Linked DNA regions of Coturnix japonica. The protein of the gene in region 4 interacts with the protein of the main gene of each other region in a pairwise test. Links are inferred from orthologs where the notes say so. Each region holds a gene or a part of one and is shown on either strand. Other genes may lie near its edges.

Region 1 (8,299 bases), on a different chromosome or scaffold from region 4:
CTTCATTACTGCAGCCATAGGCAGCTACTGAACAACACTGCAGAGCTTTGGGCTGCCAGTTAAAGAGTGGGTTTTCAAATGGCAGCCAACTTTTCACACTGTCAGTTCATTGGTGCCCTCTGCAGCAGGATGAACAGATCCCCAATCTGAGTACACGCCATGCATTTTAAATGCACAACTCCTAACTTCCCCTTTGCAGTTTGTAGATGCAATTAGATAACTTCTGATTCTGGAGTTTGTATCCATCCTAGTGCCAGCTCTGGTGAGAAAGCACATCCTTCAGTGGTGAAGAAACCTCCATAAAACGAAAAGCCATCAGATATATTAAGATTTTAAAGTGTTGATCAGCTACACGTATTAATGCAGATGTGACAAAAGTTTTATTTGTTCCAACAAGATGAACTAAGCCCAAGGTACTTAGGAATCATCCGTAAATGGACAAAAAATTCACCAGCCATTAAAGAGCACAGCTGTTCAACTTTCAGTCACAACTAATGTGAGCCTGTCTGGATGAGGTGGCTCTACAGTCTGCATCGAACTTGAGTCCCTCCCACTCTCCTGAGCATTTTCTCACTAGAAACCCTGGACAACCGACCCAGAAGGTTCATCTGTCCAAAAAGCATAGCAGCGTATATTTTTATATGGACAGACTTATGGCATCTTAAATGGTAATCCAGGAGACAAAGTATTCTGTTGATTAATACAGTAAAGAATGAATCAGCAGCATACAGGTCAAGGTATACCCCTGCTCCACACCCAAATGACACAACATACTCCTTGCTGCGGCTTAGTGAGCACATCACAGATAAGCACCATGGCTTACTTTGGTTACATTAGAGCCACTGGCTATGAAAAACCTGTGGAAATGATCACATACCGCTGTCTCCATTTTTTCACCGTTGCACCACACATCCATAGTGTCCTTTTCTGTGAATGAAAGAAAAAAAAAGGTAGAAAGGACTCTCCCTCCTCCTACAGACAGACTTTTAAATAATTATGAAGAGAAGGATACCAGGCTACCTCTTGGCACTGAACCTGCCTTTCTTTCCCCCCAGCATCTTTATCTCAGGGCAGTTCATTCTGTCCTTGGGCTCAAGAATTAACCACAGCCCAGTGTGTCTTGTGCCCTTGTGTAACCATAATGCAATACCAAAGTGGAAGTTTCACCACTAGATGGCATGGACAAATTCCTCAGTGGATCCCTTCCTCCATTCTTCTTGTAATGTACTTTGGAAAAGGGGGCAGAGGAAAAGAAATCTTGCAACTGATAAAGTATGCAAACATTATCTGAAGGTTATAGGTTAAGACCACAGTTAAGAAGCAGTGCAGAAAACAGCATGCTGATTAATCTATGAAAAAACAATGAGTGACAGCAATACACCTCTTTTCACAACTCCTTAACTTTGGCTTACGGTTTGTAAGGGAAATTCCAGTTATTGAGTTAATAAACAACAGTGCTGTATAAAACTACACACAGGTATAACAAGATTACCATTTTTCTGCCTGTCTTTGTTATCTAATTCCAACATTCTCCAAACCACACAGGGTTTTATGCTGCAACAGTGCTAGCCACTCGTAGCAACTGGACAGACCGATACCATGCAAAAGGCATTACAATAACAGTGTGATGACAGAAGAACTGGCACAATAAAAAGGTGCTCTAAAGGAATAAGACTGCTCACCCATATCAGAAGATTCCAGGTTCACAGTGGAAAGCTTCACCAAGAAGGGATCTCCAGAAAGAGATCCTCCCCCAGCAGCAGCCAGCCCTTAAATGAGGTCTAAGAGAGGCGCAGTCAGGCTCTACCCCTGCTGGTTGTAGGGGTGAATTGCCCTCACCTGTGCTCCCAGGGCTGACTGGGTCCTTTCCCCAGGTGCTCCATCAGTGTTTCAGGCCGTGACTCAATAGTCCCAATACACCACTGAACTATGCTTTCTCTTAATTACCAATTACTAAATGCATACAGCTACTTTTTGAAAGCAGCGAAATGAAGTCATTCAGTATTTACTTACCCAGAACAATTCTATAGTCTGTACCACCCAAGCTCAGTATCCAAGTGTTGGTTGTTTTTGACCTGTTCTCCATATATTTCTTGGGGCTTTTTGCATTGATCTCCAAAGTATATTCATGTGTAAAGCCACTGACTGCATCGATGTTAATAGTAGCTCTTGTTTTGGACGCTCTAACAGTGAACGTTTCTTTACCCACCAATTTAAACATCCATTCTTTTCGTATCTCTTCCTGTAGATGAAAACACAGACAACAGGTATTAATTGATAAACCTGAGAATGTGTTTTAGTACTTCAGAAAAGTGCACCAGAACTCAGGAAACAGCCCAGTACTTAACTGCCTTTTTTACCCGCAGGTGCAAACATGGAATACTTTGTAAATACAGAGCGCCTCTGCCCAAGGATGGCAAAGCACTTCACCATACTCACACCTTAATTGTAACTGAGACAAAATATGATGTTCATTACACGAGGTAAAGTCAGCCAACTGAATATACCTCACTTGCACGTAATAGTCTATTGTTTGTTCTGATGACTTCTCTATGGATATACACTTATATAATCGTATTACAGTGAATGTTGAGCATATAGCAATTTCACCTTTCCGTCAACATAGACGACACGCTTTCCTGTAGTGGTCCCGTGCTCAAATTCAATTTTATGAACGCCATCACTTAAAGCTACTTCCCAAACAGCCACCAAATCTGTCATCTTCTCTATGTGGCCGTACCGAGACCTGTGGAAACACCAACAAAGTCAATTAATTGTCATAAGTTTACACAATTACTTGCACGTTCTTGCTTTTAAAATCATTCAAATATGACAAAACATCACAAAAGCAGGCAGGTAAGCAGGCTCGCTCTGACAAACACCATACAAAGATATATACCCATCCAAACTCCGGAGCTTCCAGTTCAGGGGGCAGTATAGTTTAAAACTGTACTTAGGATTCAGATGTTCCTTGCGGGTAAATTTAAGCAGGCTTTAAAATGCAGCATTTCATTTGCTCTCTGAGTAACCCCTTCAGCCTTCTGAACTTGAGAAGTAGTTGTAACAGATAAGCTCATCACCTACTGATTCTAGCAGAAATATTACCTACATCATTTGGGAATGCAACTCTGCACACACAAACACACACAGGGAAGGAGACTGGAAAAGATATCCTTCCATTTAGAACACGTTTAATGTTTGGTACAGCCATAAGTGACCACGGCAGTGGGGGATATCTTTCCAAAGGCCGTACGGGCTGCAGCTCTGCTGTTTTACCTTACTTCTTCTTCACTGAGGGTAACCTCCTCGCGGGATGCCATAGTAAACAAAGGGCTTTTAATCCAACCAGCAGCAAGAAAAGAAGAAAAGCAGGATAGCAGCTAGGAATGCTGAGAATGGATGGAGTTATGACTAACGGATTTGTTTGCTGTGACACAAACATCATTTTCCGGACACAAACTGGTTTTGTGTAAGAGCACGAATGACGAATGAAGAGCACGGCTGTCCTGTAACCACATCTCTCCCTTCAGCTGTGAGGGAACCACACACCCGCATTCCATGAGGCTCAGCACCAACACCAAAGCCACCAACCAGGACTCAAACCGCCTCCAACATCCACTCAGGCCCCTGAACTCGTCCTACAGCGAGTTTACAGCCACAGCCTTTATTTCTGCATTACTCCGCGACGTTCCCTCCCCCATCACTCACTGCCATCCTCACAACCCCTCACACCCACACCCCCCCCTCCTACCCGCCTGCCCCGCTCCGGCCGCGCGGGTCCCTCCTCCCCTCCGCCTCAAGATGGCGGCTGCCCGCCTCCCCGCGCTGACCGTTACCGCCCCACGGCTCAGAGCCCGCCCTCATCGCCCGTTCGGCCGCTTACTTTCCTTGCCTGCTCTTCCTTTCCCTTGGCGGCTCAATATGACGGAAGTATCGCGGTAGTGACACAAAAGGGCGCCGAAGCAAAGCAGAGCGTGTCCGGCTCTTCAGAAAGCACAAATTCGGCTCACTGCATCCATTTCCCCTTCTACCCGGAGCGTCAGCGTGCCTTTTGCATGCCTCAGGTTTCTGCCTCTTCCCAGCTTCAGCAGGAGGAAACGGAATGGGAGACCCTCAACACGCTGCTGTTACGCCATGGAATGGTGCCCATAAACACCCCAGGTAAGGAGTGCTGGTGGTGGAGGTCCTTGGGCAGCAGACATGAAGTCATGAGGTGCTGCTGAAGCCATCGGTTCCATACAGTAACGGTGATGCCATCTTCAAGTACCAAAAGCTTTTGGTTAAGGCGTTGTTTTATGATGTGTGCTTCCAGATGTGATTGCTTTGGACAGTCAGGCCTCTCTGGGAATAAGACTTGCATTAAAAACGTTATTGGAAGACACCGACCGACAACAGAAGATGATGTACGGGCTTATGGAGACTAATCGTAATCTTAGGTAAGGTGCTGTGAAGGGAATTTGCAGGTAGTGCAAAGCAAAAAGCACTATTGCTGCCCGTTTTCTGTCACATCCAAAGCCAGAGACCTTTTTCTTGAGACTTTTGTGCTATATGCAGCAATATTGGCCCAGATCTCCTTGAGCTGTTGTCTGAACTGCATCTGCTCTTGCTTCCCATAGTGGCATATTTCCTGTGCCTGCTGCTGCAGGCTGTTACTGGGCACCATCGGATAATATTTGCCAGGCCTGTGCTTCTTGCAGTGCATTTAGTGAAATGAGTTTAATTTAAATCAAAGATTTGTGTTTCTAGAGATGAGGTACGACAGGAACGAGGTCGGGCATCTCGACAAGAGGAAAGGGCTAATGAATTGGAAAACGTGGTGGAAAGCATTAAGGCAAAAATCCGTCAGCTGGAAGATGAGACAATAGCTAAAGTTTGCCGGCAACAGAATCAGGTCAAAGAACTTCATAAAGAACAGATGGATTCACAGGTAAGTCAGTCTGCAGCACTCAAACTTTTGACTTCTTTTGAAAGCTCACATTGGTCCAAATAAATACAAGTCTCATGTCAAACTTCATATGCTATTTGTAGCTGATTTTATGTTTTACAAATAATTTTCTAGTAATAAATTGGAAAAAATATATGAACCCTTCTTCCACTGGCTGTTTGATTAAGCTTTCTTGGGACCAAGCACCAAGTGTGGGTTGGTGGAGCACCATCTCCAGCCTGTGAGTTCAGTTCAGAATGCTCCTGTTATCTCTTCACAGGCAAAATACCAACAGCAGCAGGAAAAGCTGCAAGAACAGGAGGAGATTATTGCCCGTTTGCAGAGGGAGCTGTGCAAAGCTGGGCTGGAGGAGCAGCAGCGTGTTGCCACTCAAACCGAAATGTTCTGCCGGTTTTGCAAGAGAGCTCCCAAGTCCCTTCTAGATCAGCAGTAAGGAATTTTGTTATATTGGTGAATGACTTGTAACATTAAATGAATAAATGGATTTTAAAGTGACGGTTCTTGATACTTACATGGGAAAAAAAAAACAAGTTGGAGATGTTAGTGCAAGCTGAATGAATGCATGGCAGAAGGTAAAAATTCTCGGCCTCTGTATCCACTAGGTGTCAGCAAAGAGGGCGGAATGGCTTATTCTGGAAACTGCATCTGCTACAGTGATTTTGTTCTGGGACTTGTAACGTTTAGAATGTAAATTTAAATAACAAAGCAAAAAAGCAACAACAACAAAGACAGCTCGGGAAAACAGCTTTTGTGACTGCTGACTGCAAGCAAACTCCAGGCACTTTGTGCATGTTCTGAAAGCCTACATGTCCTGCAGTAACTCTGTTTTTCAGCTATAGTCAGAGACAGCTGACAGCTTCTAGGCCTCAGGTGGCTGTTGCCTTACTGTGCTGGTGTGGCCTGGTCCATCCAGGTCTGCCTAGGATGTTTACCTAGGAGAAATTTTAGAGGGATTGTGTGCCTCTCTCTGTTTCTTATGCCCTCATTAAACAACAAAAAAAGAAGCTCTGAGATTCGTTCCCTGACATTTCTCACCTGTACATACAAAACAGAAAATCTCAGAGTGGTTCAAAAGGAAATGCTGTTTCTCACCTATACGTTTTTCTATGGCTTTATTTCCTTGCAGCCATTTCCTTAGAAAGCACTTGTAGTTTCTCTGGAAGTTCTTAGGCTGTGTGTGACCTGTTCTGTTATATCACCTCCAATGGTCCGTGCAGCCCTACAGCTTAAGACTGTGACAGCTTGTTAAGCTTGCTGGGTGAACATAGCCATGAGATGTAAGGGCTGTCAGGAGGATTTAGCTTTTGTCTCCTCTTGAGTCATTTTGCCACTTGTAATCTAATAGGCATTTAATGTCTCTATATTTCTTTTTTTGGAAAACTGCGACTGATATAAGGGAGAAACAGTCACTTTTAAAATACAGTGTAGCTGTGTAAGCTATCCTGTTCCAATAGATTGGTAACTATATCTTAAGTTCAAAATACCATTTTTCCTTTTTCAGGTTTCTTTGTCTAATCGATTATTATGAATCTCAAATTAATCAAATGAAAAAGGAGCTACGGTGAGTCTCATCTAATGCCTTGTGGTCCTACTGCTAAAAGTTTTCTTTCTCCTTGTTGTTCTTAAAGCTTGGAATGGCAAATGTTCTATTTTCTAGATGTCACTAAAACATAAGAAACAGCCAAACACTGTAATAGTCTTGGAAGTTTGGATTAATCCTGGAAATTTCTCTCAGTCTGAGCAGCTGCGCAGTCAGGCCATACAGCCAGGAGGGCATTGTATTTAGACACATGAGCTATAATCCTTTGTTTGTTTTTCGGCTTTCCCTTTTGTAGAGGTTTACAGGCAGCACTACTGCATTAGCTATGCACAATTCACCCGTTTCCTAAAAAGAAAGAAGGAAAAATAAAAAAGAAATACCAGCTTCTCAGCTCCATCATATTGCTTACATGATACAGAGAAACAAGCAGATACCTGAGAGACATTCCCATAATTTGAGATTATTATCTAGAAAGCTGAAATTGGATTTGCTTGCACTGTAATTTCTCTTGAGGAATAAATGTACTCAATTAGTATATGAAACAGCTTTGCAGAACAATAGAGAAGACCAGTGACAGTATTTCTATTGTGATCGTAGTTTAGTGTATGGAAATTTTGACATGTGTACCTGCAAACTTAGATCTTTGTGCCAATTGAATTGCAATAAGCTGAAACAATTTATTTTCCCTAACAGGCAATATAAAAAAGCTGAAGATCATATACAGAAAGAAGTAAAAAGCAAAGAAAACTTCTTAAATCTGGATGCTACTCCAAATTACAGAGCGCTGCTCACGGTATGGAACTGCTAAGAATAAGCCCATGCGGATCACTGAATGGTAACCCGTGAAGAGCCACACAAAAATGCATGTGTTTGGTTTCTTGTCTGCTTGTTTCTGTCTTCAAAGTTCGTAAACTCTCTGGGCAGCATTCACTGTCTTCATCTTATTATGCAAAGATTGAGTACTTTGCTGTAAAGTTCTCTGCTTCTCCACCTGTGGGCTATACAGCAGGATCTTGATCTTAAAGAGGTCTGTTTCCTCACTTATGCTGTCTTATAATATAAAGCAAATGGGAATCTTTCTTAGCACCTGACATGCTTGAAAGTGTTCAAGCTTGTTGATTACAGAATGAATGAAATTAATAATACAGTGTTTGTTGCAGTCTTTTCAGAATCAGCTTGTTGAAACAAAGGCCAAGAATGAACAACTTTTGCTTGAAAATACAAATCTCAAGAAAGATTTGGAAACAAGGTGAGAAACGTTTTTAAAAGCACATCTCTAGGCTTTGCTTCACAGAGAAGGAAACTGAAAGTGCAGCAACTGTAGAAGCCTAGTGTCAAATCTGCCTTTAAAATCCATTCATAAAATAATTAGCATTTTAATAGGGCAACAACAATCAACCTTTCCTTCCTACACTGCTAATAACAACAGCTCTTAGTGTACGCTGTATTGTCTTGGACAACTGCATTGATATTTACACTTCATTGAGCTAGGGCAGGAACAGTGAATGTGGGCAAAATGGTTCTTTCCACTTTGGTAGCATTACTGCCAAGCCTGACTTCCACTTAAAACCTGCTGGACAGATAGAGAAGCAGGTGGTTTTAGTAAGAAAGCCTGAGCCAGCAAAATTGGTTTGGGTGCTATACTATATCTATTTTACAGTTATTGCCACATGTAATTTGTTGTAGAATTTCATTTCCAGTATGAAGTTATGGCACTAGTAAAGCTTTCTTACTTTTTCACCTGGCTGAATTTTATAGCCGACTTTCAATGCAAGATAGATAATGTGGTATGTTTTCTTTCCAACAGACCAACT
Region 2 (8,424 bases), on a different chromosome or scaffold from region 4:
TATGGGTGTATAAATACAATGGGTTGTTTTGCATTAGTCCAATGAATGAAATTGTTCTCACACTGGGTTTGCATTCATCATCAATTAGAATTTTTACATGACAAACCCAGAGCATCCTGCTGAACCCAAATCACAGCTGGCAATCCTTGCATGGCAACACAACCACTCTTTGAAACAGCTCCCTTCATTGCTATAGAGGGGAAAAAAGACACACAGCATACTAGGAACAAAAATAATAAGCTGTTGTCCTGACAACCTCACAAAGGCTTAGTTTACTACAGCAGAGCAGCGAGATAACCTGATCACCTTAAGCTGCTCCTAATTCTTCTAGAGCAGCTGGCCACTACAATAAGTAAGAGATGTATGCTTGCATATATACTATATCACATTATGAATGAGGATGTATGCATATACAAAGACACATTGTTCCCACTTCCCCCCACACACACACACCTTATGTCACACACATTTAAAGTGAATTCACATTGCAATACATGTCAAGTATTCACTTTTCAGTGCTGAGAACCTAGAAAAATACTTAAAGAACATCCAAGGAAACAAAATCCTTCGGTATCTAAAACTAGGAAATAATTGGCTTTGAACTGAAAACCACAAATGAAAATAATCAGAGAGGAAGAACATGTGATTAGCTCTTAGATGAACAAATAAACAAACAAGCAAAAGAAAAACCAACAACAAAGAAAAAAAGACCACAGAATAAGATATCCTATCTTTCACAAACGCCTCCTCCACAAAATGTAAGAGACAGAGAAAGAGAACACTCATTTGCAATGACAGTTTTGCTAACTATGCATTAATTGCAGAATTCATTTCTACTCCCCCAAGGAAAAAAAAAAGCAGCAAGGATTTTAATACTCGGTGCATTTATAACATCTACACAAAGCCATATTCTCTTCTTACTCCCCTTTATGTTCTTATCCCCCTTACTTGCCACTTAATTCTCATAGCCTTTAACAACTTATCAGATGTGATGGGAATAAGTGTGAAAATTCAAGATGAAGGACAAAACAGGGGTAACTGAACAGTAGTTTAGAATTTCCTTTCACTCTCATACATACACAATAAGCGAGTGACCAAAGAAAAATCAAAAACCCCAAACCAAAGGAAAACAGCTTCATGGGCTGTATCAGATTTAAAATAAGGGCTGGTGAACCAAAAGAGAAACAGAAGCCCAGACTGTTGGCTCGTATCAGAGCTCTGTATCTGTGTTATGTATCCTCTAACATAAATCCCATCAACCCCTTTTTGTATCACTTAAGTCTGGTTAGTTGTATTTTGAAATTCCTGTGCTTCAAAATATGAGGCTGCAGAAAGCATCATCACAGTCGATAGGCACCATGCCAGCGAGAAGTTAGGAGGCAACAGGGAGTGAAGGGAGAGGGGAAAGAATGAAGGAATGGCAAACGCTATGGGAGGATTATACAAATGTCTGCAAAGCTGGATATGTCACACTGCAGGATGCAGGGCAACAAATGAAGACATTATGTAAGAAAAGAATCAGAGTCAATAGCAGAACTCCAAGTCTTGTGCTCAGAATTTCATTTAAGCATCTGAATTCACAGAGCAGCTGAGGGGGAGGGGATGTCAGAAAAACTTCAGCTACCGCCGCCTTCCTAGCTACTACAGCACAGCTTGATACCTCTCCTTCAGGGCTTGCTAGATTCCCTTATTTCCAAGAGGTTCCCTCCTCCCACTACAGCATCTTTCTTCATCACATCTCTTAGTCCTAAACAAATAAACAGAATTATTCTTTAGCAAGTACAGGCCATTTTCTTCAAGAATACAGAACTCCCCAGATAACAGTAACCAAAACAATGCCCACTTCCTTTCAAACACCTACTATTCTTAAAACGTTTCACGACAGATCCACGAAGGCTGTTTGCTGGTGGGTTCAAAAAGACGGAGCAGCTGCTGATTGTATTCATTACACATTCAGGAGATTAATTCATATGAAGTCCAAGCTTAAAAATAATAAAAATTCAAGTCATATGGCACCACTGCTGAGTGTTATGAAGAATTTATGGTATTCTTAACACAATCTGTATTAAAAATAATTAGTGTTTCTTTAATAGAGAAGTATGTTTAGCACTTTTCTATCTACTGAATGCAAATTCCACAATTAAAGCTTGGCATTGGATTCTCAGGTTGGTAGACACTTATTACATTATTTGCCCAAAATTATACAGTTAAAAAAAAACACCAAAAAACAACAACACAACAACAAAAAACAGGGCAGAAAAATATTGAGGTGCACTTAAAGCCTAAACTTTCTGAACCATAAGAGGATGAAATTCCTCATAAAAATAAAGAGAGGAAGTGATACTTGTCTTAACTTTGCAGGATGTTTTAAAGATTAACGCAAATGATGCTGCTTAGCATATTGATATGTTTTTACTGTAAGTACAGCACCACAACAAATAGTCAGCCATCTCCTCTTTACTCCTCTGCTTCACAGTGCAGCTTGCCCAAACAACCATTCAAGCTTGAGCACAAATGGAATATGGAAGTAAAACACTTTAAAGCAAAAACTGCAGTGAAAGAGAAAGGAACATTCATCAAACCATGACTTCATTTCAAGCTGTCAGTATGGCCAATGTTAGGTAATCTTGGATGACTAATGTGAGAAACAAGATAACCCAGCACCCCACCCTCCTTCCACAACCAGGAACTTGTAATGTTAGTAGGAAAATGCAAGATACACTTCTCACTCCTTATTACCAAACTATAACGCTTACCAGTAAAAAGCATGAACCTACCGGTAATATCTTAACAGCGAGCTGCCTAAACGTAATTTTATTCCCAGTTAAGGCAACAAGCAAATACATCCTCCTGCAGACAGAACTGCTGCTCTGCACAAAACAATCTTAGGGGCAATGCCTGACTACCACATCCAACACGAAGCTGATGGTGATGAAAGAACTGCCTCAGTTCACTTGTAAGGGTCATCAGGCAGAAAAAGAGGCTTTGCCTGTGTGACCACTGCTTTGCTTAGTTCCTCGTTTCACTCGACATCTGCAAGAACATTTCACAATGCACTTGAGTAATAGTGCTTGTCAGTAAGTGTCCACAAGAAAGACTGAATTATCTTTCTCTTATGACAACAAAACAGAAACCTTAAAGAACAGCCTGATTGGCACAGCAAGCAAATACCAGCTGGAAACATATAAATAATGAGGTTTCATTTAGCTCTAGGTTTCACATCATACCCTTGGCATATACAAATGACACCTTTAATTGATCCAACATGATTGGTGAAACAGCCTGGCATCCTTACAAGTAGATATTCCTTCTTGTTACATCTAAAGTGCTGCATGACCTGGTAAACTACCACAATGGACTTGCCAAACCAAGACAATACATTCAGAGCCTTCCCCGTGATCTTGTTTTATATGAATGCTACATAAATTATGAATAAACTATTGTGGAGCTTAAGTGATGTTTAAATATCCCTAACGCACCATCGTTCTTGATGATTTAAACATTTTTGCATTAATAATGAAACACATTTCAAAGATCAAATGTAAGAGTCGAGTATTTCAGAGGTAGCAGCAAAGAGACAAACAGAGAGGAAATGCTGGACTGCATTGACAACAGGCACAGCTTTGGAAAGACTGAAGAACAAGATGAACAGAGCATCAGGCCTACGCATTCCTATCCCCAACAGGCTGCGATGCACCGTGTTCCTGAAGCCAGCTCTAAAATATTTCTGTCTAAAGCAGTTACGGATACGAGCCGGAGACAAATCAGCTGACAAATATACTGTGGTCCTTCTTGAAATGCAGTCCAACTAAGTAATAACTGAGAGTGAATTGGTGTTTCTTTCCATTTTCAAACAACCTTTCCTATCCAGCTGCCTTCCTTTAAAGAAATGTAAATATTGTTCAGAACTATCTTCCAACTAAGAAAACTTCCTTTAGCTTTTGGTAGCAGCACGTAGAAAATAATGACCAAAAACATGAAGACAAGCTGATCAGATCGGTGAATGATGTCAGCCAGTGAGCAAACTAAATTCTGCTCTGCTCCCATCAGCACCGAACTGATGTAGAAGACAGTTTACTATTCACACGAAGGAACAAAATAGACAGAACCAGAAATAGTAGGCTGCAGAAACAGATGACACGCTTCCCTTCCCTGTGGGATATCTGATATAAGAAAGCCATCTAGCGTTAACTCGTAGAAGTGAAAGCCGCACACAAAAGAGCTTAGGAAAATTAACGTAAGCAATTCTCTGTTAACTTCTAGTTTTTATGATGCAGAAAACCCGAACTCATTTCCCTAGGGAAGCCGGACCGAAAGCAGACATTGGAGCTATCTGCGCATTAAAGCGACCCGGCACCCATCCGCCTTCCCTGCCCCGCTCCGTGCCCGCTAACAACCACACCTGACGTTTGGCAACTTCGGAGTTGTCTTTGTCAGGAGCGCTGCCTGCACACCCGCACCGACACGCACAGTGACAGGGCCGGAAGAACAGATCCGCGTCCAGTCCATCCCGAGGGGCTGTCACATAACGAACCGAAGCGATGAGCCGGGAGATGCAGCACCCACCCTTGAAGAGCACACGGCAACAAAGAGTGTCGAAGGATACGGACTGAAACGCAGGTTGAGCCTCGTATGCGGTAAATAAGTAAAAAGCACGAAATCCACTTGGGGAAGCAGCAAGGGCTGAGCAGCCTCTCTCCGCTCTCCCCGACGCGAGGTGCCCCCCGCACCGCAGCTCCGCTCCGAGCCCTCCGAGCAAACTAACTCCGTGATTGCCACGATCCCTTCAGCGGGCTTCGCAGCTCGGAGCCCCGTGCCGGAGCAGAGCTGCTCCCCATGAGGCTGTGACCTCCCCGAGACTCTCATCCCAGCGCCGCTCTCCGGGCTCTATGGATGTGGCGGATCGCGGTGCAGCTCGGAAAGCGAGCGGTCCCCTCGAGCGCCGCGCCGGACCGCGGCCGCCCTTCGGCCCCAAGAGCCCGGAGAAAGCGGAGCACCGTAGCACGCAGCACGGTGACCCGATCCCACCCCCCCCCCCCGGGCACCCGGCGGGGAGAAGCGCTCCCGTGTCCCCAGAGATCCCCCCCCGGGCGCCCCGTCGGCGGCCGGCTCGGCTCCGCTCCCTCCCTTACCTGCAGCCGCTGCAGCCCACGCTCCGACCGCGGGACCCCCATCGCCCACGCGGGCTCCGCTGCCCCCTGGCCGCTCCTCCTCTCCACCCGTCCCTCGGGGCGCGGAGCCGCAAACACAACCAGCCGGATGGTGACCGCTCCACCTCCAGTCGCCTCCTGCTCCGTCGCGCTCTGCCCGGCGCTGGCTCCCGAGTGCTCTCCGCCGCCGGACGGGAGGGGAGGCGGAGGGAGGGGCGGGGAGCAGCCCCGCTCACGCCCGCTCCCTCCGTCCCCCGCACGCAGCCGAGCCCCGCCTCCTGCCGGCCCCGCCTTGCATTGGCTCCGCTCTCGGTCCCGGGGGAGCCCTAACTCCCCATTGGCCTCTCACGCTGTCGCGCAATCGAACAGCCAGGCCCCGCCCCGCGGCGTGCCGGCCGCCTCCTTCCCCCGGCGGGGGTCGCGGGGCGTTTTGGCGTTGGGTTGGGCTGGGATGGGCTGACCGGCAACAGGTGGGGCGGAGGGAAGGAGCGCTGGAGTTTGCCTGCCAAATGAGCTTCGGCCGGGCACACGCATTTTCCTCCCCCTCCTCCAACGCGTTCTGGTAGGCAAACCGAAGTCTGGTTTGGGGATTTGAATTTCCCTATTCCGATTCTGCGGCCAGTTCTGCAAGAAGCCGTGCACGCGGAAGCTGCAAAACAGAAGATACTATCGGCACCGACGCACTTGCTTCCATCTCATTCCAGCTCCATCACTGGACATAAGGGCTGCTCCGACAGAACCCAACAGGACAACCCGTGCTGTTTCATTTTCTTAGCCCTCCTGCTCATTCTCCCCTCCACCTGCATCCATCTCTCACACACAAGTACTGTTCTGGTCGCACCGGTTGGTGCAGTGCAGGCGGCCGGCTGCCCTGCAATGCTGCTCTGCTGCCCCACAAGCTTGTCCTCACTGCCCACCCCGTGCTGGGAGCTGGGGAAGGTTTTAATAGAAAGGAACAGCCAAGTGTATGCCAAACATCCGAGGCACCCAGGACAAGACACGTTTCAGGTGATAAGGAGGAGTTTTTTACTGTAGGGGTGGTGAGGCGCTGGCACAGGTTGCCCAAAGAGATGGTGGATGTCCCACACCTGCAGGCACTCAGGGTCAGGCTGGATGGGGCTGAGCTGCAGGGTGTCCCTGTGCACTGCAGTTGGACTAGATGGCCTTTAAGGGACCCTTCCAACTCAAGCATTTCTATGATTTTGTGAGCCTACTATGCATTAAAAATAAAACTCACCCCAAAACCGCAAGTGGACAAAACTGTATTCTTCCATTTGAATCATATAATAGACCATATCCTTCCTGGAAAGTTCGCTTCTTTAAAAGCTCGCCCAGGAAAAGTCAGCGGAATGATAGGGAATTACGGGAGGTGCAAGGAACACACAGTGAGACCGTCAGCACTTGCTTGTGACTTCCCTGCTGGCCGAGCTCTCCTCATAGCAGCGCTTACAGGGATGCTCACCGCGGATAATCTCCTTCACTCCAAAACCCAGCTGGTTTCTTGGAGCTCAGACTCCTCATAGCAATTGCTGACTACACCCCCCTCGCTGGCAGCCACGCTTCACTCTGCACCTCTCGCTCTGAAGGAAAACTCAATCACCAGAAAAACTATCTCCTCTCGAGGAGTCCCCTCCAGCAGCCCCAGCGCTTTGCAGAGGAGCAGCTCCCCAGCTTAGCAGCCGCCGCTAGGTGTCCCCTGCGCAGGCACTATGCTCTGCCCGTTCCCTTTGCTGCTTAATGACTGAGCCGCCTCCACCGCGGCTGCTTTCTGCAGCCTGTATCGTCAGCCCAGCTACAGTGTTCTTTTTATGAGCTTGGCTACACTTCACGTGCAAACGTAGGAAGGTGGTACGATGCTGTATTAACAGGTGACAGAGCGGTAATATTTTGTGTGCTAAGAGTATTTGTATTTACTTATTGACGTCCACAGGCTACCTATGGCACTGTGTGTGGATGGGCAGATCCTTCCCAGCTGACAGAAGGTGCTTTGGAATGGAATGGTTCTACCTCACTGAACAGGTCTACGTGGTTACAGCCAACAAGCCAAATGTGTGTAGGATGCATTCCCATAATTATTTATTACCTGCATCTTGACAAGATCCAGCACACTGATACGCACCAGGGTTTTGCTGTTAGAAGAGTCTGTGAGCACAGCTTTCTTTTCCCCCTCTTTTTTCCCTGCCTTTTTTAATTATCCCTCTCACAGTCCCTCCGAATCACTCCATTTGGCTTCCAGGCTACCATCTGTGTACCCTCGAGGAGTCAATAAGAGAAGAACAAGGGCCAGAAAGCAGAGCACAGGTGAAAAGAGGTAAACAGGATTTTCTTAAAATAGTAAAGGGCTGTTCAAGCCTTGAGAGCACAAAAGCATGTGATGAGAAGAGGAATACGTTGCCCACACTAAAAACCAATATACATAAAAATGTAACTGGAAAAAGTGGGGAGAAAGAGGAAACTTTAGCTTCTAATTCATTCAGTATTTCACTTGAATTGTCTGTTAAAGGACATTTGCTTCAGATATGGGATAGATCACTTGCAGCAGAACAGTCTGGCCTTAGACAATATGGATGCAGAGCATACCATAACAATTCAGCCAATGGCCAGAGAGCACACAAACAGAAGTCAGGCAGAGGACATCCCACAGGACACAGCTCAGACACCTCTGATCAGAACGGATGCCAACACATCTCAGCAGCATCTTCACTTGCCCCTTCACATTAAATTCTGGAGTAGGGGCAAAGCCTACTCAGCTCAACCATGTTTGAAGCCAGCCTTCAGATGCTGTCAACACACAGGGAGTTGATCCAGCACCTCCTGCAGTCTGCTGGCAACGCTAGAACCAAAAACTGACTGTCCCATTTGTTGTGGTGGAAGTGGGCTGAAGTGGGATCTGTGGAAATGGTGCAGGAGGTGAAGAAAACATCCGGTAGCCACATGATGAGGCATGTTTTGCTGACACAAAGCACTCGTGAATAGGCAAGCTGAAGAAAATGTAGGTTTGTTTCCTCAGCTTTGGGCACAAGCTTAGAATCTTGCTGAACTAAGTAGGCGCTGAGCACAAGGTCTCTCTAATGCTGAAAGATGTCACTTCCCTCACAAAACCTCTTCGCTGGCATTGCTCAGTTGAGTTCTGAGGCATTTAATAAAGTGAGCTGCACTACAAAGCCTTTAAGGCAACCTCACCTCCCTCTGGCCACACTGGAGGAAAGCTGCAAGAAGCAGCCACATGCTCTGCACTCCTTGTGAGTCACCAAGCCATCCACAGGCTGGTGCT
Region 3 (6,549 bases), on a different chromosome or scaffold from region 4:
GTGTGTGTGTGCGGGACGGAAGCGGCGCGAGCTGCAGGGCGGTCAGACGTCGGGAGCTGCTGGGCTGTGGCTGCAGTCGGTGCGTTGCCCCTTTAATTGTGTCCCCAGCCCTCGGGCGTCCGTGTCCAACGCCCACGTCAGCAAATACCTTTTGTTTCTCTCCCGCTCGGGCTTCCAGGGCTCGGGGCTGCGGGAACGGGGCGCTGAGCGTGGCCCGAGCGGAGCCGGGGACCCCGCACCCTCCGCCCGCGCCTCCATCGCGACCGAGCGAGCGGCAGCCGCCCGCGGAACCCGGCGGTGAGTGGCGGCCGGGGCGGAGGGAGCCCGTGTGCGGGGCTGCGGGCGGGACGGCGCCGGGAGCCGCAGCCCCGCGGTCCGGCCGTGCCGCCGTTCGCCGCCGGGAGCCGGGCGGGCCGCGGAGCCCCGGCAGCGCCAACGGGCGCCATTGGCGGCCAGAAACCGGGCGAGAAGGAGAGAAACCGGGCGCGGCAACAAAGGGCGGCGCGGGAGCGGAGAGCGGGGGGGGAAGTGGGACTGAGCCGGGCGGGGCGGGCGGGGGCGGCTCAGGGACACGGCGGGAGCGGGGCGGGAACGAGCGGAGCCGGGGCCACGGGGCGGCGGGCGGCGCGTCCCGCACGGAGCCGAGCGGAGCCGAGGGCAGCGCCACGCGGGACGGCGGCCGAGGGCGCCGCTCCGTGTTAAAGCACCGGGAGCGGGGGCGGCGGCCCCGGGGCGGCATCGCGGCCGATACCGGGCGGCGGCTCCGCGCCTTGGCGGGCGGGCACAGTGCCGCCGGGCGTCACGGGCTGCCGGCGGCCGGTGCGGGCGGGGCGCGGTGAGTGGCGGCGGCGGCGGCCAATGGGGGCAGCCCGGGACGGGAGGGATGAGGCCGGAGCCGAGTTCCCGTTTCTGGTCCCTCGGGCGGGGATGGATTCGAGCCCGGCCGGATTCGGGCGGTGCGGGAACGGCAGCACCGGGCACAGGCCGCAGCTCTGCCGGTTCCCTCGGGCTCCTCGGGCTCCTTGGGCTCCTCGCCATGACGGTGAACGGCTGAACGGTGCCGCCGCGTTTCTCAGCCTCCATCTGAGGATGCTGCTGCTGCTCATTCGGAGCTCTGACATCGCTGCCAAACAGCACAGGCAGCCTCACATGGACTCGTTCCATCCTTTTCGAACAGCAATGCCTGGTGGTGGATATTGGGATATTTAATTCAAATATATTTGTGTGTTTCAATAAGATTATTTTTCAGAATATCCATTAAATGGGGTCTGCCGGCCTTGGCGAGCAGCGCAACGTGGAATTCACGATTGTAATTTGTTTTAATCCCTTTGTTTCCTAGAGCACAGCACATCTGCTTTGGGATGGAGATTTCGTCCCACCAGTTTCACCTCCTGGAGCAGCTCAATGAGCAGCGCAGGCAGGAGCTGTTCTGTGACTGCAACATCCTGGTGGAGGGCAAAGTGTTCAGGGCGCACCGCAATGTGCTGTTTGCCAGCAGCGGGTACTTCAAGATGCTGCTCTCGCAGAGCTCCAAGGAAATGACTCAACCCACCACCGCCACCTTCCAGGCGTTTTCTCCGGACACTTTCACAGTTATTCTGGACTTTGTGTATTCGGGCAAACTGTCTCTCACTGGTCAGAACGTCATCGAGGTGATGTCGGCCGCCAGTTACCTTCAGATGACCGACGTTATCAGCGTGTGTAAAACGTTCATCAAGTCGTCTCTGGACATCAGTGAGAAGGAGAAGGATCGATACTTCAGCCTCTCAGACAAGGAGGTGAATTCCAATGGCGGGGAGCAGCCGTGTCTGTACGGCGCGGGCTGGAGGGCAGAAAGCAGCCCCCCACATCCACAGCCAAACCCAGAGCAAGGGACGTGTATGAGGGGAAACACTTGGAGCAACTTCAACTACTATCCAGCTTCTCAAAGAAACACGCAGCAGCAGCTGTCCAAGCACGAGCAAAGGCAGGATGCCATAAAGAAATCCCGACACCCGGGACTGCAGCAACCCGCTGACATTCCACACTATAAATCCAGCAAACTGGAGGACAGGGCTGCTGAGCCTGCTGGCCACATTTCTCAACCTGAGGACCAGGTTCAGATTGAGGCAGAAGCGGAATCTCCTCACGTGGGGTTTCAGTATGGCCAGGGCTCCGATGTGATCTCCAGGCGCTCAGCCGTGTCGCAGCAGGAGCGCGACTCGCCCCGTCCTTCCAGCAAATCCAAGTCTCCAAAAGCAGACGAGCAGTACCCCAGCATGCCCTCCATTGTAGGTGTGATGGGAGGCTGGGCTGAAGGTAGGAGGGGGTCTCCGTGCTGTGTCAGTGAGAAACACACAGTGCTGAAGGAGCATTTACCAGAAAGGCTTTGTGTTTTCAGGGATGTAGGCTTGGAAAGCTGAGATCAACACTTGGAGAGTGATGAATGAGTGAAGTTGAGCTTTGCAAAGTACATATTCTTCATGTCTTAGAGCTACACAGTCACGATCGTTTTGGTTTGTTATTCTCACTGTAATGTTGCTGATAGCCCCGCTCCTTTTCCCTCGATGTTGTAATTTACACAAGAGCTGTATCTGAAAAGACCTACAATGTCTTTAAAATAGAAGCCATTTTCTGTTCTGTTTCTGTTGCTTTCAGTAACTGGAGTAACTAAACGACGGGTATGTTACGACTTCTTTTAAAACTCCAACTGTTTCCCAGCAGACGATCTGCCCAGGATGAGGTTCAAGTGCCCGTTCTGCACTCACATGGTGAAAAGGAAAGCAGACCTGAAGCGTCACCTGCGGTGCCATACAGGAGAGCGGCCGTACCCGTGTGAGGCGTGTGGGAAGCGGTTCAGCAGGCTGGATCACCTCAGCAGCCACTTCCGCACTGTACGTATTGTTGGTAACCGTGAGTTTCACTTGATGTGTGAGTCCATCTCAGTGTGATTAAACACAGTGCCAGCCTGTCTGGTTGATACATTGACTCCCGTAAAGAATAGGGAGTAGATAATTAACTTGGTTTTGCTTAAGTCCATTTGAAGCATAATTCCAATGAAAGAGGATGAGTTCCTTTGTTGGCTCACAAAGGCACTGCACTGCGTGAGGTCTGTAATGGGATGAAGTGCACAACTGGAGCTCCTGTGGATGTCTCGTGATTGATGTCTGACCGCTGCTCACAATGAGTTAATGCTGACATTTGATGGCACTCTAGCTTTACTTTTTGTCATTAAACGCTTCCTCTCTGATGCTGTATAAATGGATTCCTCTCAATTTTCCCAGATTCATCAGGCCTGTAAGCTGATCTGCAGGAAGTGTAAACGCCACGTGACGGAGCTGACGGGACAGGTGGTGCAGGAGGGGACCAGGCGCTACAGGCTCTGCAACGAGTGCCTGGCTGAAGCCGGCATCGACAGCATCCGCATTGACTTGGAGGCTGAAGCGCCCCTTGAATTTCCAGCAGACGGGGATAAGGATTCCAGGTGGCACTACGGGGAAGACAACAAATCCGATGTGGAGATCGTGGAGGACGGGTCGTCTGACTTGGTCATCCAGCAGGTTGATGACAGTGAGGATGAAGCAGAGGAGAAGGAAGTAAAACCAAATATCAGGTAGTTGTGAGACAAACACGAGTGCATGGAATTCCTTTTACGTGGAAATCCTGTCTGCCCGTGAGCCCTCCACCAGCCTGACATCTACAGAGACCTGCTGGCTTCTCTTGGACAGGGCCAGACTTGCATGTGTTCATGGACATATCATTGAGTCCATCCTGAGTTTTGCTATCGAAATCCCCATACTTTGCTTCATTAGAAATAATGTGCCCTCAATGGAGTAACGGCTGATCCCGGAGGCTGAAGTACAAGGACGAGGTTTTACGGTACAGTGAGTCTCTTCTCAAAACCTCTTTCAAAGAGGTGAGGTCTAAATGCTTACAAAAGTTGCACATCGGTGTAAATTACTCTTCAGCATTCAGAAATAAAGATAATTTTCCATGAAATTTCATTAAGTCTTCATATTATGTCATGATTAGAAAAGCTAGGCAAAGAATTAAGAAAAAGCATATAAAAATGTTTAGCATGTAACTGGAAAAGCATTTTCTTGTCAAACTTATTCCCTCTGAAAATGGGGAACTCAGTCTGAGATGTGTTGTGTTTGGGCTGGAAGGGGAAAACTGTGTCAATGCAGGCCTGAAACCTTAACTGCAAACAGCAAAGATGACACTATTAATTCCTGTGTACTCCAGGGAGTTTCTAGAAGCAAAGGGATTTCTGGATCAATACCCAATTTAATTAGATATTGTACATCTAAGAATAGTGGGACTGGATTCTTTAGGGAAAAAAAAAGATGTGAAGTGGCTACAAGGGGCAAATGGAACAATCTGCCCATAGGAAGACATTAAGTACAGGCAAAAGAATTACTGATTTGCCCTGGTGGAGCAGGGTTTTATTGCTTTTATACACCTTTATTATTCTCAGCGCCATCCCTAAATGCTTGTAGTCATTTTTAAAGTATCTTCTAAGCCTGGAGCTGTAGCTCCACACTGCAGAGCCCACAGCTCAGTTACGTTTTGTATTTAAAAGATGACCATTTTACATCTACCGCTTTACTTTCAGTTGTTTCCTTGTTTTTGTATTACAAGACAAGCTGAATTAAGTGCCTTATATCTTCCATGCTCTTCATTTGACGTATCCAATCATATATTTTGTTTGTTTTCCTCTAAATTAAAACAATGCTGTTTTATTTTCTTTTAATCTCCTTGCATTGCATCTCGTGATTGCCGCCTTCACGCTCCTGTAAGAACCACCAGCCATTCATGAGCATAAATAACATTTTTATTCCAAAAAGGGAAAGCAAAGACCATAATGGGCTGTTACCAGGAATTTAATTCACTGTCAGGAACAGATCTGAATATTGCTTTTAGAACTGCCAAGTCACACAAAAGACACTTCATTTTATCCTTAGATGCTGAAGGCGGCTTTCAGCTGTTTTCACAATTAAAAAACCCCACAAAAAAAGCTCCAAATGAACAAACCTTTCAAACTCTGGACGTATCATCGTCCAGTTTGGGATACACGTTGCTCCAGATAGGAGAAAAAAAGGCAAAACCATCCATTTATTGTGAGCTGTGAAATAGTTACGAGCACAAGACCCTGCAGCAGAGGCTCAGTCAGGTGCTGACCCTGTTACACGCTGAATCCTTTCTTTCCTCCTGGCTCTTAGACATTCCATCCTCCAGGACTTTGGGATCCTTCTCATTTATTTATCCATTTGCAGTAAAGCTTGTACGAAACCCTTTTCTGTTACGTATAAAGCTGTTATGGGATACATGACAGCGTTTCTTCCTGCTCACTGTCGAAGCCTCCCATGCCTCAGCCATGTCAGTGTCTTCATTGCTCATGGTTTGGTTTTGTAGTTGGTGACTCTGAACTGCAGATATTCTAAACGGGGCAAACAGCTCCAGATCTTCAGCTCCACTTATTATTCAATTTGACCTTATTGAAGCTCAGAAATGCCTGATCAGCTACAGGAATCAGTGTCAGTGTCTGGACCCCGGGATCCCTTTCAATCTCCATCCCTGAGCATAACAACACACACCCATTTGCAGCCCTTTGGTTCTGGATGTCCTCCGTTGTTTGAATACAAGACTTTCCTGTTACAAAAATGCTGCTATTGAATAAAGGAATCCATCCTACTCTACAGACTACAAGTATTTCCCATTCAGGTGGCGCCTTTGCGGTGTATGGGGATGGTAGCGGGCTCCCATTGCTTATGGGTGTGAGGGCGGTCAGACGTCGGGAGCTGCTGGGCTGTGGCTGCAGTCGGTGCGTTGCCCCTTTAATTGTGTCCCCAGCCCTCGGGCGTCCGTGTCCAACGCCCACGTCAGCAAATACCTTTTGTTTCTCTCCCGCTCGGGCTTCCAGGGCTCGGGGCTGCGGGAACGGGGCGCTGAGCGTGGCCCGAGCGGAGCCGGGGACCCCGCACCCTCCGCCCGCGCCTCCATCGCGACCGAGCGAGCGGCAGCCGCCCGCGGAACCCGGCGGTGAGTGGCGGCCGGGGCGGAGGGAGCCCGTGTGCGGGGCTGCGGGCGGGACGGCGCCGGGAGCCGCAGCCCCGCGGTCCGGCCGTGCCGCCGTTCGCCGCCGGGAGCCGGGCGGGCCGCGGAGCCCCGGCAGCGCCAACGGGCGCCATTGGCGGCCAGAAACCGGGCGAGAAGGAGAGAAACCGGGCGCGGCAACAAAGGGCGGCGGGGAGCGGAGAGCGGGGGGGGAAGTGGGACTGAGCCGGGATGGCGCTGAGATGGTGGAGCCTCAGAGCTGCGTTAGCTGTGATAACATGCAGAGATTGCGGGTCTCTAAATACAGGGCTCGACTCTTAGAAGAGGATGCAGCACCATTCGAGTCGCTTTCCATCATCACAGCCGTTTGTTTCTTGCTGTAGAGTCGCTCCCCGTCGTTCCCCTGTTGGGATGGAGATTTCGTCCCACCAGTTTCACCTCCTGGAGCAGCTGAACGAGCAGCGGAAGCAGGAGCTGTTCTGTGACTGCAGCATCGTGGTGGAGGGGCGGCTG
Region 4 (7,850 bases):
ACTTCTGGGAGAGGAAAAAAAAAAGTAGAATTGCTTGTATTGATATTGTTGTCCTCTTTGACAGAGGAAGCATTTGGCCCAAGGGCTCCTCTGTTGAAAGAGACCAAGTAACGCATAAGTGTAAAGGCTGGCGTGTGACTAGAACAAGAGCAGGGTGTCACAAGGAATCTCTAGAAGATTGAGATGCAATTAATCCTGGGGAGAAAAAACAAAGGAAAAAAACCCTAGGCTTACCCTAGTCAATTTGGAGCATCTTTCCATTTGCTGGATCGCATCTGTTAGAGATCGTCTATTTAGCACCAAGAATAGGCTGCTTCCTGCGTTACTGGAAGCAACCCACAAATGGTGCCCCCGACATGTCAGGTAAGTGCCAGTCCTCAACAAGAGGCCAAGTTTATAGTAATACTTTCCATTTAAAAGTTCTGTGCTTCAAGAGGGACCATCAGAGAATGGCACCGGGCTCACCTACCCCACATCCAAAGCAAAGCACACGCACCTCACTCAACACTGCTATCCTGTTCTTGTTACAAGCGTGTGCCCTGGCAAGATACAAAGCTTTTATTTACACTTCCCATGTCTTTGTCGCACTAAAATGATCCCTCTGCTGACTCTGGAAATAATCCTAAGCTGGCTGCAGTACAAGAGCAAGGTTTTACTTTTGGTCAAAGTTACCACCCACAAAATCCCACCCCCCGCCCCCCTCCCAGCACCCCAAAGTTGTTTACATTTAGTACCTGCCAGTCAAATGTAAGCTGTGTGGCTCACAGTTACCTGTGGCCGAGCTCTTGAGTTTGTTGTACTCTAGTGCAGCATTTGCTACAGTTACGGAGTCACTGCTGACCGAAAACAAAAAGAACCAGAACAAAAATAAAACCCCAAACAAACCACCCTTTCCATCATCTTGTAAAGCTGTTGTCAGGAGGCACCTGGTTTGGTGTGTGTGTTCCTCGAGGCAAAGGACAGGTTAAGTCTGCCTTTTGGTTCCGAATATACTCAGAAGAAAAGGAAAAAACAAAAAGTGTGGGAGGGGTCAAAAAATAAAGGGAGAAATTAAGACAATTCATTAATTCCTGCCTCAAAGTAAGCAAGCATAGTGTGAGTGCGGCATCGCTATACACAATACATGAGCAAAAGGGATTGCGTTCATCCAGGTGCCTCCTGATGCTGTTGTTGAACAGGCTAGAAGGGAATTTTTAAAGTTTACAGTTTGATTTGTCTCACTCCTTTTGCCTGCAGATCAGGCCAAACATCAAGCATGGTGGGAGGGGCACAATTTAAAGCAACACCGCTTGACCAGAAAGTGTTCCAGCAATACACAGCGCAGAGTGACAGACAGCAACTCGTGCCTAAACAGAGCAGGTGGCGAGCAGCTTTCTGCAGCTCCTGACACTTACAGGGCGGGCTTCGCCTTTCCCTGCTCACCAGAAGTCTGTATTGAGGTCGTGTTGGGCAGAAAATACACAACGCTGCAGGAAATCAATCGTTCCCATCGAGCTCCAGAACTGTCCGTTTATGCGTCTCGGTTTCCTATGGTTTCTTTTAAACCCAAATCCACACCTTACGCAGATACTGCTCAGCAACGCTGACACCCGCCGGATCCCCCTCGTGCCATGCAGAACACGGGTCACGGCACCCTTCAGAGCTTGTAAAGTTCCTGAAGTTTCTAAGGGGGAAATAGAAGAGTATCTCCACAAAGCTAAGCAACAGACTTCTGAGACCTCAGAGCCTTGCAAGTAATCTCTTCCACACGAGTGGTACAACAGCGCTGCTAACACCGGAGCAAACCCACCCTGACCAGGGACACGCAGTGAGGCCTGCTCTGCTTGGAGCTCAGAGCATTTCTCATCGCTTAGTGTTGCAGAAAACTGAGCCCCTCTCATCTTTAGCTGCTCCCATAATCAGTCACATCCCTTTAACCCCAGCAACCTTCATAAAAAAAAAAAAAAAAGTTATATATGAACCCAAACAGGAAAAAAAAAAAATTATTTACAAAGTTTGTACAATATACACATCTGAATTTCTATGGGACACACTGCACCAGAGGAAAGAGGGCCACAGCTCTGAAACAAGTCTACGTATCAAGTGCTGGAACTACTAATGGAGACTTATGGTAACCAGTCTTTAGTGTTCTGCTAGAGCATAGGGGTTTTCTTATGGCTCCTGCAAGAGATGACAGGCTACTCTTTCCTTCTGGAGCTACGATGCTGCACCTAATCAGCCCAGATTTTAAGTTGGTTTTGTTTTAAATACAGGTATTTACAGTGTGGGTGAACTGCAGATGCATATCAACTCCTCCAACTAAAGAACAACAAAAGAAAAGAAAAGAAAAAAGTTGAAGACAAAAGTAGTATTACCAATAAGTTTCACCTCACAGCCCTGGCCTCGAGTACTTGGAGAGGAAGAGAGGGGGGAAAAGAGGGGAACTTTGACCTGAAACCAAAAACGGCTGTTGATTCCTCGGGCTGTGTCGGAAAGGTGATGTTCTGAATGGTCTCATAGCATAAGGCACTTTGCACGAATAAGTAAGAAGCTCTTTAGCTTAAAAACAGATGAGTAACCAGGGAGAAGTTGAAATGCACTCAGTAGATGGTTGGAGAATTTGAAATCGCAGACAAGCTCGTGTTCAAAGATTCTTCTCTTTTCAGGGTTTCTCTTCTTCCCTTGCTGCCCCTCCCACCCAAAGAAAAAACAATTTAAAACCAGCAGTTAGTGCAACTAATGTTCAATCAGCACACAGTGCAAACGAGTGGAAAAACAAAAAGCCATTCCTCCTTTCATCTTCTTTCTTCCTTGCTGCCAAATTTGAAAAGAAAAAAGGCCGAGCTCTTTAGTCTTCATAGTTCCAAAATGAAAAGACGAAGAAAAACCCACAAAGAGAAGGGTATCCCCAGAGAAATGATGTGTCACAGATGTGGATCAAAGGGCTTCACCTTCTGGCATATGTAGTCAAAGCCTGAATATATAAATACACAAATAACACCTGCAATTAAGTCAGGTTCTGGTTTTGCACAGAGCTAAGAAATGAATCATGCTGACTGCAGGGCAGCTCCTGAGAAGCCGCCGGCATTGGATGCAGTTCGAGAACTGTCCCTCTGATGTGCCACTATGACCCAACTTCTCCCCCCAAGGAAGCCGCCCAAGGACCTTGCCCAGCTTCACAGTTTGATTTGCTTTATTTATTTTAAAACATGGAGAAAGCTCAGCCAGCAAAGCAGAGGCCACAAGTCACCTGGACATGACCAGCTGGCTGGGGCTAGCCTTGAGTTATTCCAAAGAGATACAGGTTTTGCTTTAATTCTCATTTTAATTAACAGACTGTTTCTTTGGCAATTTTTTTGTTAACTGAGAGTAATTGCAGCAGCTTCATTAGAATTCTTAATTCATGATCTCTAAGACAAGATGCACTACAAAACTCCTTTCAACCCAAATGGTCTGTAGCATCTCAGCTAGTAACAGATGAAATATTACCCTCTATTTGCTGTGAGAATAACAGCTTCCTTGGATTGTGAACTGACTCAGCCTTTTTTTTCCCCTCAGACAGCAATCAAAAAGTCACACTTCCAAAGTCCTTGCCAGAGAAGCCTCATTTTCTTTTAATGCTATGTAGACCTCAAGTGGCAATGAAGATGAATTACAGCTCTGCTACCTACTCAGCTTACTTGCAGAAGTTCTATGAATCAAAGAATGCAAAACAAATATGAGGCACCTATGGCTTGAACCTGCTCCTCTCAGCTGCTGAGATGAACAGGCTGTTCTGTTGGTGCTATGTTCTTAAGAGACCTATTTTTCACTCCTCACCTTCCTGATAATCACTTTCTGCCCCTACTGCTCAGCTAAGAAATACAGAAAGAACTCATTAGGCTGCTCACAGCCATCCTGTCACCAAGCAGGATTCTCCTCATCTCCTCTGACAGCCTATTTCAAACCTTTGTTTTCACATTCCAAGACTCTTCAGCACATCAGTTTCCCCTCTTCCCCCACAATGACATTCCAACACAACTACTCAAGTCAGCACATACGCACATGGTTACTGTTTCTCATCTTCTACAGGTTCACTGTGATATTCTGCCACGTAAAGGCTCTTGTCAATGTTGCTTGGTATGGGCTTTATTTCAGTTCCCAGCTGCTCCTCAATACTTTTCAGGTTGAATCGATCATCGTAGGTGATCAAGTTGATGGCCAGGCCAAGATGTCCAAAGCGACCTCAAAAAAGAAATTTAAACTGAGTAACAGGAGGTTAAATGAAAAGCCTGCAGATTCTGCAGGTGTTATTAACATCGCTTTCTCATTATAAAAGTCAACCTGGACCCCTGCAAGCTTCACATCAACATCTGATAAGGACTTTCTACTACCAAGTAAAAGTCTTCCACTACTGCAGTGTGGAACTTGAGGTAAACAGAGTTCCACTCTTCACTGTCATCATCAGGGATATATCTGGAAGCTGTCCAGACATCAGAAACAAACTTTGGAGCACAAGCAGAACAACAAACAAAACACACTATGCTTTAAAAAACACAGAAATTAAGTTTTCAATATAGAATCTTCCTAAACTGCAAACAATAAGCATTGGCGAGTTCCATGAAATTAAAGCAAAAGGTGCTTTTTTCCCTCATTTTCTTTTTATTTTTGGCCTAGGCTCTTCAAGCTCATTTAAAGAGCACGGCCATTAACTCAGGTATTTGTGAAGAAAATCCTATGCCATCATCCCTGTAAGTAAACATCAGAAAAAAAGCTATTCCAAATAATTATCAGTACAGTGATAGAAAGCAGAACCCAATCAAAGCATAAGGAATATTACAATTATCAGCAAAGCTGTCCCTAAAACATGTTTTTCCTCTCACCTGATCTGCCAATACGATGGAGATAAGTCTCTGCCAGCTTTGGAAAATCAAAGTTTATCACCACATTCACAGCTTGGATATCAATACCTCGGGTAAACAGATCTGAAAGACAACACAAGTCATGAAGAACATTAACTTCCATGAAATCTAATGCTGGGCTGGGAAATTTAGCCTTTGTGAATGTTGGTTAGCACTAGTTTCTAAAGACAAGCCCTTTCTGTGTATCAAAACATTTGACATAAATTCTGTTACAGCCTCTTCCTGCTCTTTATCCATGTTAAGCATAATAAAAACCGAATGATCAAGACATCAAATCTTCAGTTCTAGGTAAAAAAAATAATTCTCATGAAGCCAGTTTTTGCACTATTTTTGAGCCGGTCAGCTTTATATAAGCATCTTATCAAATAAGGCACACACTGTCATTTTACAACAGACTTGAAATGTGAGCTACGTCCCATCAACTGAACTATCTCTGTTTCATTTCAAGTGAGTTTTAGTAATGCAGCCAAGATACAACTCAGGCCATATACAGACCAATCAGAACTGCAAAGCATTTGGGAAGTGATGAAGAATCAGTAAATCATTATTCAATAATGCTAGCCACAGTTCTACCTACAGTTCTTCTACTATTTCATATCCAACAATTTATAGGACACTCAAATGTTAGAACATAAAGAAAACATAACTGAAGTACAAATTATCATCACAATGAAAGGATTTGTTAGCAAGCTGCACCACCACAGGTTGCCAAAAAGAGAAAGCCTGTATGCCTACAGATTTAGGCTGGATGTCAGGGAGAAGTTCTTTACTCTGAGAGTGGTATGTGGGCTGTGGCTGCCCCGACCCTGGAGGTGTTCAAGGCCAGGTTGGATGTGGCCCTGGGCAGCCTGGGCTGGTATTAAATGAGGAAGTTAGTGGCCCTGATTGTGGCGGGGGAGGGTAGTTGGAGATTCATGATCCTTGAGGTCCCTTCCAACCCGGGTCATTCTGCAATACAGGAGCACTGCAGCCCGCTACACACAGGTATGACAAAAATTCTCTTACTAAAACAGATTAGTTTTATCACTAAGCAGTTCATCAATTATACCTGGGCTAATGGCTACTCTACCACAACCTTCAGAAATGCATAGGGGCTCTTACCAGTGCAAACAAGATTGCGGCATAAGCCATTTCGGAAATCGTGGAACACGCGGTTGCGATGCTCCTGGAAACACATAAATAAACTAATTAAAGAACAGTTATGACTTTCAGTTGAGTGCTCAATTTACAACCACAAATCCCACGCTCGCCCCTTCATGAATATCAGCTGAGTCTAAACTCCTTGTTCTGCCTCTTAATACCAAAACTTCTTTTGTTCCCAAGGTCTATTTTCATTCCCAGTGTTTTGACTATCATCTCTCCTAGCTCCATGCCAAATGCTGTATATTAATACCTTACATCCTAAAAATATATTCATGAGCATTGACATAAAATCTGGAAACATCCTTCCTTTAAAACTCAAAGTAACTCCATTTTCCACTGCAGAGCATTTTCCACCACTGAATCAGTGATGGTATGAGCCAAGTGCCTGCGCAGACTATTCTCTCACTAACAAGCCACACTGGACTATGCAGATTAATAAGCAGTTTCATTTTCAGAGAGTGAAATGAACAAGTTGCAGTGTCCCACTCAAATAACGATGCCTCCATTTTTTTTTTGCCAGAAAGATAAAAATAAGAGAAATGAAAACCAGGTCTCAAGCAATCCATCTGCACAGCTGTGTTCTCAACACTGACATCAGCTCCTTTTCTGCTTAAATTACTGCTCCATATATAGCCCAGCAAAGGTTCGTATTGTCAGTCCAATGAACAGCCAGGTGTCCATTAAAGCTGTCGTTTTAATTTGTTCTAGTTTACATACAAAATGTAAGATATTTCAAAGTCCTACCACCTTCCACACATCACTTCAACCTCTTGTCAGTGTCTCCAAGTTCACTAGCTAACAAGGAAAGCTATAGTGTGAAGCTTGAGTACATGAGCTACTCTACAAGTAACATAAATCCCTGTGCACCAAAACCATGTTGCTATTTTTCATGTTTACAGCAAGGCCATGGGTGCAAAACTGCTATGCAGTAATAGTTGGTACTTTCACTGAGAGCTTTGATCAAAGCTGTCTCCCTGACTTCTCAGATTCCCCTACAGCCGTGGAGCAAGATGTGCTGCTTGCCAAGTCACGCTGTGAGCTCACACTGGCTGAGTACTGCTCTGTTTGTATTCCTAAATACCAACTGATCAGTTTGGAAAGAGCAGAAAAAAAGTCTGGACACAAAGTGGAACTAAAGCAAAATACATTTTTACAGCACACATAAATTTAAATAAACCTGAAGAACCCAGATAGCAACTGCTGTAACTTTGTACTTACCTGCCTCATTTTAGCATGGATATAGAAGCAGGAATAGCCCAGCTGGGAGATCTTTTTGGCTAGCAATTCAACCCGTTGAGAGGAGTTGCAGAAAATGATCGACTGGTTGATCTGGAGCTGGAAATATAATCAGAGTGTTCAGTAAACATGGAATTTTCACAGCAAATCTAAGGCATGCATCTAAATCCCTTTCGAAAAGAGAGAACAGGTGCTACAAACAATTCATAACATATATTTCTGAACAACAGGGGAAAAAAACTTCAAGGTTCTGTAGCACAAAAGTGCAGAATAAGAATTATTTTTAACTCTAGCTCACAGCATCATTAGTACATTTTGTCATGGAAAAACCTGTCATCCTAAATCTTACTATTTTATTTTGAAGTGAAAAACTGCTTTTGTAGGCTCTAAACCCTATTGCTTACCCTGGAAAACAGCGTATTGAGGCAGTGAACCTTCTGACGCTCAGTTACATAGGCATAGTACTGGGTAACTCCCTTCAAGGTCAGCTCCTCCATCAGATTAATCTCATAGGGTTTCTGCAAATGGGAATTCTGAAAGACAAAATAAAATAAAGCAGGCGTATCTACATGCAAAACAGCATAAAGACAT

Evidence for each region.
Region 1: the proteins of DDX6 (region 4) and CEP70 interact in a two-hybrid assay, tested with the Homo sapiens proteins (2 studies listed by BioGRID and IntAct). The two-hybrid records come from large-scale screens. The link is inferred for Coturnix japonica from reciprocal best matches to the Homo sapiens genes DDX6 and CEP70.
Region 2: the proteins of DDX6 (region 4) and SIPA1L2 interact in binary tests that used the Homo sapiens proteins (3 or more experiments, as listed by UniProt). The two-hybrid records come from large-scale screens. The link is inferred for Coturnix japonica from reciprocal best matches to the Homo sapiens genes DDX6 and SIPA1L2.
Region 3: the proteins of DDX6 (region 4) and zinc finger and BTB domain-containing protein 8A interact in binary tests that used the Homo sapiens proteins (3 or more experiments, as listed by UniProt). The two-hybrid records come from large-scale screens. The link is inferred for Coturnix japonica from reciprocal best matches to the Homo sapiens genes DDX6 and ZBTB8A.

What each region holds. Positions count from the first base shown.
Region 1 is NC_029522.1:18,784,866-18,793,164, reverse strand, and holds the start of CEP70 (centrosomal protein of 70 kDa), read left to right. Parts: upstream 1-4,028; 5' UTR 4,029-4,055; coding exon 4,056-4,161; intron 4,162-4,312; coding exon 4,313-4,436; intron 4,437-4,746; coding exon 4,747-4,927; intron 4,928-5,204; coding exon 5,205-5,374; intron 5,375-6,446; coding exon 6,447-6,506; intron 6,507-7,178; coding exon 7,179-7,278; intron 7,279-7,645; coding exon 7,646-7,734; intron 7,735-8,292; coding exon 8,293-8,299. Other genes in the region: FAIM (fas apoptotic inhibitory molecule 1), read right to left, coding at 878-927, 2,014-2,242, 2,611-2,746, 3,277-3,320.
Region 2 is NC_029518.1:35,173,029-35,181,452, reverse strand, and holds the start of SIPA1L2 (signal-induced proliferation-associated 1-like protein 2), read right to left. Parts: upstream 5,402-8,424; 5' UTR 5,133-5,401; intron 1-5,132.
Region 3 is NC_029538.1:4,574,555-4,581,103, forward strand, and holds the end of zinc finger and BTB domain-containing protein 8A, read left to right. Parts: 5' UTR 1-297; intron 298-874; exon of another isoform or gene 875-1,222; intron 1,223-1,339; 5' UTR 1,340-1,361; coding exon 1,362-2,298; intron 2,299-2,700; coding exon 2,701-2,873; intron 2,874-3,263; coding exon 3,264-3,596; 3' UTR 3,597-3,983; downstream 3,984-6,549. Other genes in the region: zinc finger and BTB domain-containing protein 8A-like, read left to right, coding at 6,364-6,549. UniProt on the Homo sapiens protein: May be involved in transcriptional regulation.
Region 4 is NC_029539.1:4,827,049-4,834,898, forward strand, and holds part of DDX6 (probable ATP-dependent RNA helicase DDX6), read right to left. Parts: intron 7,793-7,850; coding exon 7,664-7,792; intron 7,359-7,663; coding exon 7,242-7,358; intron 6,046-7,241; coding exon 5,982-6,045; intron 4,944-5,981; coding exon 4,842-4,943; intron 4,204-4,841; coding exon 4,028-4,203; 3' UTR 4,024-4,027; intron 2,954-4,023; 3' UTR 1-2,953.